Drosophila melanogaster: one gene and its partner. The gene in region 1 interacts genetically with each later gene. Each region holds a gene or a part of one and is shown in the gene's direction. Other genes may lie near its edges.

Region 1 (3,754 bases):
TAAATACACGAATACATACAACACATCTATGAATGAAAAAGCGAACGAATGAAACAATAAATACATATATATAATTTAAAACAAAAGAGAGAATGCTTTAGTCGAGTTCCCCGATAATTATATAACCGTGTCTCAGCTAGTGTGAATGCGAGCGCGAAATTTTATTATTTTTCTGGGATATCGATAGGAATTGGAAAATAAAATAAGAAAAATTGATCAAAAGTGTGGGCGTGGCAGTTTTAGGCGGCTTGTGGGCGGTAGAGTGGGCGTGGCATCGTGGGCCCCATGTTTTCCTTTGCCGTTGGCGGTGTGGTAAGTTTTTCTTAATTTTGTAAATCAATTTTTATACCTAAAATTTCCAGCCACCGCGCTAACCAACTCGGTGTGGCTAAGGAATTTTGGTCGGAACGTATCGACGTATTGTATACTTGACATGGTCGGAGACCAATACATTTTCAACGAATCTAGTATACCTTTTTACTCTACGAGTAACGTGTTTACTCCCTTCATATTCTATTTGTTGCTTTTGTTGGAGTCCAGACCCATTGATACCGCTGGCGCCCATCATTTGAATCATCGAGTACAGAATATCCAGGAAGTCTGTCTATTGGCAATAGAATTAAGATTTTTGAACATATAACATCCTTTTTTATGGGTATAGAACATAAGGTTGAAGGTGGTTAAAGTCAAATAAGTCAGTTAGTAATAATGAGCACATCGATTTCCAAAGCTCTGTATGTGTCACATTCGTTTAAAAGTTTGAAACAGCAAAAAAAAGCCATGTTTGTCGGTCCGTCGGTATCTCGTGATCTGAGACACTATACAGGCTAGAAAGGTGTATAAGATATGTTGTCACACCCCGAACTCCCAAATCAGGAAGAAAGCATCTGCTTTGCTCATAATTTCATGGTTTTATTACCAACTTATGTCATGCTGGCTATGCAGGTATTGATGTTGGGCACAAAGGCGTTGCAGCCGTCGACCACCTTCTTGGTGGCATCGACGTAGCAGGAAGAGGTGTTGAAGGGCAGGGCTGCGCCCTGCTTGATCAATGTGTTCATGCGGCGGACAAGGGACATGGTGGCGTAGAAGGCCTTCAGGGTGCAACGCATGAAGCTCTTGGTGGAGGAGACGACGCTCCTGGAGGTGGAGGCGCACAGCTCGGACTTCATGTTGATGATCTTGTTGCTGGTGATGATCATTTGCTTGACATTGTTCAGCATGGCCTGGATATCCTTGGGAATATCGCCGGTGCAGGTGCTCAGGTCGTCTACGTAGTTGGTGCAGGTGAGCAGCACATTGGCCACCTCCTCGACGATGCACTTGGTGCCGTTGATGCCCTTGTATCCGGCCCACAGAATCTTGCGGCACGATCCAATGAAGCCGAACTGCTCGACGCCCATGAACTCATCCTCCATTGCCATCAACTCGGCGGCGTAGAGATCCTTAAGCTCGGCATCGGTGTAGGGCTCGAAGTCCTCGAAAGCACCTACGGCACTGGCCTAAAACAAGTTAGGAATACGATTCGATTTTGGAATAACTGTCAAAATATTTGACTTCAAGTAGCACACGTTTTAAAAGCACTTCGGAAAAAAAATTGAACAAAATATATTTGCTTTAAGCGACGATTCTGTTCATTAAATCTTTGTTTGCTGCACTTTTCGGATTTTTTTCAAACTCTAATAACGATGGCACTTGACTGTATTTGCTAGTAGTTCTTCATAAGGTTGTCTGACTTACGTTCGCTGTGGCCAGAAGGAAGCTGGCAGAGGCCACGACCAAGAGGCAGACGTTGAGTACTTTCATGTTACTGGTGGATGGTTTCACTGGCGAATGTTTGCTGACCGATCCGTGGGGTTTGTTTATATAGACGATTGGCCGGAGCCATATCAGTTAAGTGGCGATTCGGAGGTTCGATTTGCACATACACTTTGGAAAACCAATGTGCCGGCGATATGTATGCTTTAATTAAACCACCACACAAAGTCCGAAACTAATTTGACATTATCTATGCAGCGTGGACACACAAAGGAAGATAGCGAGATAGTCATATAGCCAGATTGTCCAGATTGGACAGGGATTCCTCAGGTAAGTCCGACACCACCCACCGCAAGCACTCCCATATATCGACGCGATGCATTCGATGCATAATCGCTCAAAGAAATCAATGGGTATTTTATTTAACAAAACAAAACCCTTGGAAAAGTCACCTATCTACGTTGTCAACGTCTGAGTGACAGCTTTTTAATATTTAAAGTGGCTTAAATCTAATTTATAAATAAGCATGAGCATTACAGTAAAAGAAGTATCGAGTATATTAAAAAACTAATTATACCAAAGAGAGAGCCTTTTATCTTCAAACCTGTCTCATGGCCCTAGGTTAAGGTGATCATATCTGTTGAGATATTGTTTTTGTCACACTTCCATTTTTATCAATATTCAATAGTGATAGAAAGTACACTCGCACTGGTTTTCGTTTAGGGGTGCAGACATTTGGTTAACAGTAACTAAACAATTATCTAACTATTCTGTACTCAATAAAATATAAATTTGTATTATAATTGAATTACTATTAATTTACTCTGACTAAAAATTGTATAAATTGTACAAATATACAAATATAGGTATGTTATAGAGCAACTTGTTATATTCCACTTAATACTTTTTGCAAATCGATGGAAATTCGCAAGACTAATAAAAATATAAAAAATATCATATATACGATATACCAGATCGACTCGGCTATTGATCCTAATCAAGACTATATGAAAACGCTTCCTTTTACTTTACGAGTAACGGTTATAAAAATTTAGTTACGAATAGTAATAAAAAGGCTTTCTCTCCTCTAACAAAATTAAATAACTAGCAAAAACTGTGATAACACGGATTTTTATTGAATGCTCGAATCAATTGCGGGCACTAAACCCCTAAGAAGTCAGCTTGGAGCAGCTGATGATGTTCTGGGGAAAGGCGGTGTAGTAGGTGGTCAGGGTGTTGACGGCATCGGAGACACAGGCGACGGCATTGGGACCGGTTTGCGGGATCTTCTTGGCCAGCTTGATGGCATTGTCCACTTGCTTCTTTAGGGACCACACCTTGCGCAGAGTCTTAACAAAGCAGCTGCCAGAGACCTTCGTCTCCTCGTCGTCCGTTTGGGGGCAAGTGTTGGACCTCAGATTGATGAGGTCGTTGCAAGTGCTGAGGATCTTATTGTTGGCGTTGATCAATTTGGTCACATCCTTGCTGGCGGTGACGCCGCACACGACCACGTCCGTGTTAAATTGGGTCGCACTGTCCTTGATGCCCGCCACCCACTTGATTATGCAATTGAGTCCCTTGATGCTTCGCAGAGCGATCTTTAGGGATTTGTAGGTCGTACTCAGCACGCCAAAGTCCTCCACCTCCAAGCTACCATCGGTCACATCGTCCAGTTCTGACGAAGAGTCCAGGGCGCTGGGAACAGGAGCCACCAATGCATTTACCTGGAATTTAAATATTTGCTACCATTGCGCAAATAATTTGTATTTTTCATTGCAAAACTTACGCAAAACAGGCCCAAAGCCAAAATAAGAATGGTATACTTCATGCTGTCGTTGTTTATAAGCAACTATGAAAACCGTTTCCGATTCGGCCCTTTTATATCGCTTGGTTTTTTAACCCTTTAGTGGTCAGGTAGGTCTTGTACAAACAGAAATATAATAGATATCTAGGTTCATAACTCTATTATTAGAGCTAAATGTTAGGATTGCACGGA
Region 2 (3,754 bases), on another chromosome or scaffold:
TCAGCTCGTGACTGAGCATGCCCTCAATGGGCTTGCACTTATACGACTCGCTGATTTGTTGCACTGCATCGGTGAGGGAGTAGTTCTGTAAGGATACAGAATTGAAACATAAATATTAAGTATGAAATAAAATGGAAATAGTTCAAAGCAGAGATAAAGAAAACATTCCAATTCCCTTTGACTAATCTTAATCAAATATCATAGTATACTATAGATAACGCAAAATAACAATAACTGATCGGCATTATCATTGCGATTGTGGACAACTTTAAAGACCGAACATTTCAAGTATCTAAACTTGTTCAGTTCACGAAATCGACACTGTTGATCTCTGCAGACGTTGAGCTGTGCTGAGCCACGAGTTAAGGCAGCAGACAATCCGTTGCCTGCAGATTACAATTCCGACATATCTATAAACTGGAGATGTGGACAAATTTAAAGACCGAACACTTCTATGGAATGAACTTGTTCAGTTCACGAAATTGACACAGTTTCTATCCGCAGGTGTTGAGCTGATCTGTGTCAGAGTTTGAGCGCAGTCAATCCGTTGCCTGCAGAAGAAATAACCTTGTGGACAACTGACAAGAAGCCTCCAGTCCTGAATAATAGGCCAGGGCAATTACCAGCTGCCACAGCTGATCTTTGCAAGTGTTGAGATGTTCAGTCGCTGGAGAATCGCGGCAGACAATCCGTTTCTTGCAGGGATTAACGGAGGATTACCTAGAAGTAAGGGAGGACTCACATTGGCGCCGGACTTGAGCAGACGTAAGGCAGCCTGGACAGCCCAGTAGGCGGCGAGGATGACATCGGCCTGGCGACCACTGATCTTCTGATCCGCAGCAGCGCCTACCACAATTGTGTGAGCGGCCACGGCAATGAAACCATCAATGTGGGCACCCAGATCGCTGTAGAAAAGAAATGTTACGTATTTAGTGGCGGTATATGTGGAATAGGAGGTTCAACTTACATTTTGACCACATCACCGGCCTTTAACGTGTAGTCAGCATCGTTTTTGGCTGGCGAGAAGTGGCAGACACAGTTGTTGACGGACAGACAGGTGGGAAAGGCAATGCCCTTCTTCAGGTCTTTCTCCTTTTTGTATACCTGTTTGTGAAAGATCGATAAAAGCATTAGATTGCTTGTTCGTTGTACTATATATCAATGATAGTGCGCGGTGTGTCCTCAGATCTCATAATCTGTAAATCCTCGGGACCTTTTGGAGAGCACACAAGCCGGGCACGTGGAGCATTGGAGTCCCCGCGTGCGCCTGGCGACCACGAGGTGATCCCCAGCCCGCACAGCACATGGCTCGCCATCGGGAAACCCTCAAAGGTGTAAGTCTTAATCATTGGACATGAAATTGGCGCGAATGACCGCCAGGTGGCCACCACTTACTTTGCCGGTCTCCTCGGTGAGCTGATTGTCGCCCTGGGTGCAGATCTCCCGGACGGAGGCATCAACCACGCAGAGTCCAATTACCGCCTTGAGGGTTTCTAAAATTAAACGAGCAGACAGAGTCCAGAAATAGGCAGATTAACCAACGCGTGGCGCACAAGGGAAAGCGGCATTCGGTGCATTGTGTAAGCGCCACGTAGCAGCGACTCCAGGAATCGGCCAGCGTTCGCTGTTTCCGGCCAAGGAATACTCACTGTTGACGATTTCGCCGGCCAACTTATACTTGGTCACCACCAAATCCTCGGCGATGGTCTTCTCGGGCTCCTTTTCCACATCTGCCATTGTACTTGACTCTAATAATTTTAAAATGGCGACTTAATGAAAATGCGACCGACTGAAACACCACGAGGTAATGAACGTGTGGCCAGGCGCAGCGCAGGTATCGAAAGTTCCAGTGGCGTGTATGGTGGGACCGCTCATTCGCCTTGACAACCCTGGCAAATGGGCGGTAAGCTTAAGATGAGCGTGAAAGCGTAGATTGCTAGTCGTAAACACTGAATGAATTTTAAATAACACTTTGAGCTATATCAAATGAGAATATTTCATAGTTTTACATATTGTAATCCACTAATATTTCAATAAAAGTTTAAATATTAAGTTTCGGTTTTTTTCTATTACACATAAATGGTCCCTCTAAAAATAGGAAGTCAAAGAGCTCGAAATATCGATACCATCACAGTGTGACCGCTTGTGGAATACCGCATTCGGTATTTTTCTTAGCACGAATTTGGACTAAATGCATATTACAAGTCATCTTTAACAAAAAAAATTTGCATTGAACGTTAATAATAACATTTACTTGCTTAAATCCAATTCGGCTGCCGAAACAAAAGCTCAATTAATAGAAACCTAATCCTATCACCATGTCCGTGCGCGTGATCAACGACGAGTCCCACTTCCAGGCGGAGTTGGCCCAAGCGGGCATTCAATTGGTTGTGGTGGACTTCACAGCTTCGTGGTGTGGTCCCTGCAAGCGGATTGCGCCCATCTTCGAGACGTTTCCAACAAAGTACCCAAAGGCCATCTTCCTGAAAGTGGATGTGGACAAGTGCCAGGACACGGCTGCTGGACAGGGCGTTTCGGCCATGCCAACATTCATCTTCTACAGGAACAGGACCAAGATCGATCGCGTCCAGGGTGCGGACGTCAATGGGCTCGAGGCCAAGATCCAGGAGCACATCGGTACATCCGGTGGCGAGGAGGGGGGCGAGGATTACGGGCAGGGATTGGTAATATAGTGCAGTATTTGGAAATGTTCCAAAAATAATCCCTAATCCTTCTTACAGATGGAACTGAATACATTTATTTCGAAGCAGGAGTGCGAGTGCCTCAACGAAGCTGATGACCACAACTTAAAGCACGCCCTGGCCTCCGCCGGTGGCTACCTGCAGTCCGATTGCGATGAGCAGCTCATCCTGTCCATCACCTTTAATCAGGCTGTGAAGATCCACTCTTTGAAGTTCAAGGCACCTTCGCACCTGGGTCCCAAGGATGTGAAGCTGTTCATTAACCAGCCCCGCACGATTGACTTTGACATGGCCGAGTCCATGAACAGTGTGCAGGATCTAAGGTAGCTATTGCCTTCTCTATGGCTGCTTAGCTCTTCTCACTGTTCAATCCATTTTGCAGCCTGGCTCAGAAGGAGCTGGAGAGTGGAGTGCCCGTGAATCTGCGCTACGTCAAGTTCCAGAATGTGCAAAACATCCAAATCTTCGTGAAGAACAATCAGTCAGGTGGCGATGTGACGCAGATTGATTATATCGGCTTCATCGGTTCCCCCATCATGACCACCAAGATGAACGACTTCAAGCGAGTGGCTGGCAAGAAGGGCGAGAGCCACTAAGGTTCCATTGAAATTTTCAGCGTTTTTCCCCAATGACGTCCCAGCATTTCTTTTCAACTTTGGACTTACAACTAAACAATATACAACAAATGCATAAAAAATCATACAAAATAAGGATCAACAAGATAATCTAAATATCCATCGGGTTAAAGGCTGCTCTGGTAAGAGTCCAGTTCCTTGGTAAGCATTTTCCACGCACGCTCCGCCTGTTTCTGGGTGAATTCGTGATCCCATTGCGAACTGAATATCACATGCGACTTGGCCACGATCTCAGAATTGGGCACCTGACTGGCCAGTCGCTTTTGGGCCTCCACTTCGCTCAACTTGTTGCGCTCAATAATCCGCCGCACAGCCTCATCCGGTGGCACAATCATGGACCACACCTCATGGCAATTGGTCTCCCAGCCCGCTCGCAGCAGCACCGCTGCCTCCAGGACCACCACACGCGGCACGTCC

Evidence for each region.
Region 2: of CG5445 (region 1) and Txl, changing one suppresses a phenotype caused by changing the other (phenotypic suppression), as found in Drosophila melanogaster (one study listed by BioGRID).

What each region holds. Positions count from the first base shown.
Region 1 is NC_004354.4:17,280,888-17,284,641, forward strand, and holds the start of CG5445 (uncharacterized protein), read left to right. Parts: upstream 1-1,608; 5' UTR 1,609-1,740; coding exon of another isoform or gene 1,741-1,806; 5' UTR 1,807-1,957; intron 1,958-2,016; 5' UTR 2,017-2,088; intron 2,089-2,874; exon of another isoform or gene 2,875-2,927; coding exon of another isoform or gene 2,928-3,482; intron 3,483-3,544; coding exon of another isoform or gene 3,545-3,586; exon of another isoform or gene 3,587-3,613; intron 3,614-3,754. Other genes in the region: CG8664 (uncharacterized protein), read right to left, coding at 924-1,502, 1,741-1,806; CG8661 (uncharacterized protein), read right to left, coding at 2,928-3,482, 3,545-3,586.
Region 2 is NT_037436.4:5,763,692-5,767,445, forward strand, and holds Txl (Thioredoxin-like), read left to right. Parts: upstream 1-2,154; 5' UTR 2,155-2,318; coding exon 2,319-2,684; intron 2,685-2,741; coding exon 2,742-3,025; intron 3,026-3,084; coding exon 3,085-3,298; 3' UTR 3,299-3,393; downstream 3,394-3,754. Other genes in the region: CG10576 (uncharacterized protein), read right to left, coding at 1-85, 743-905, 968-1,104, 1,396-1,493, 1,650-1,737; Ppat-Dpck (bifunctional phosphopantetheine adenylyltransferase - Dephospho-CoA kinase), read right to left, coding at 3,445-3,754.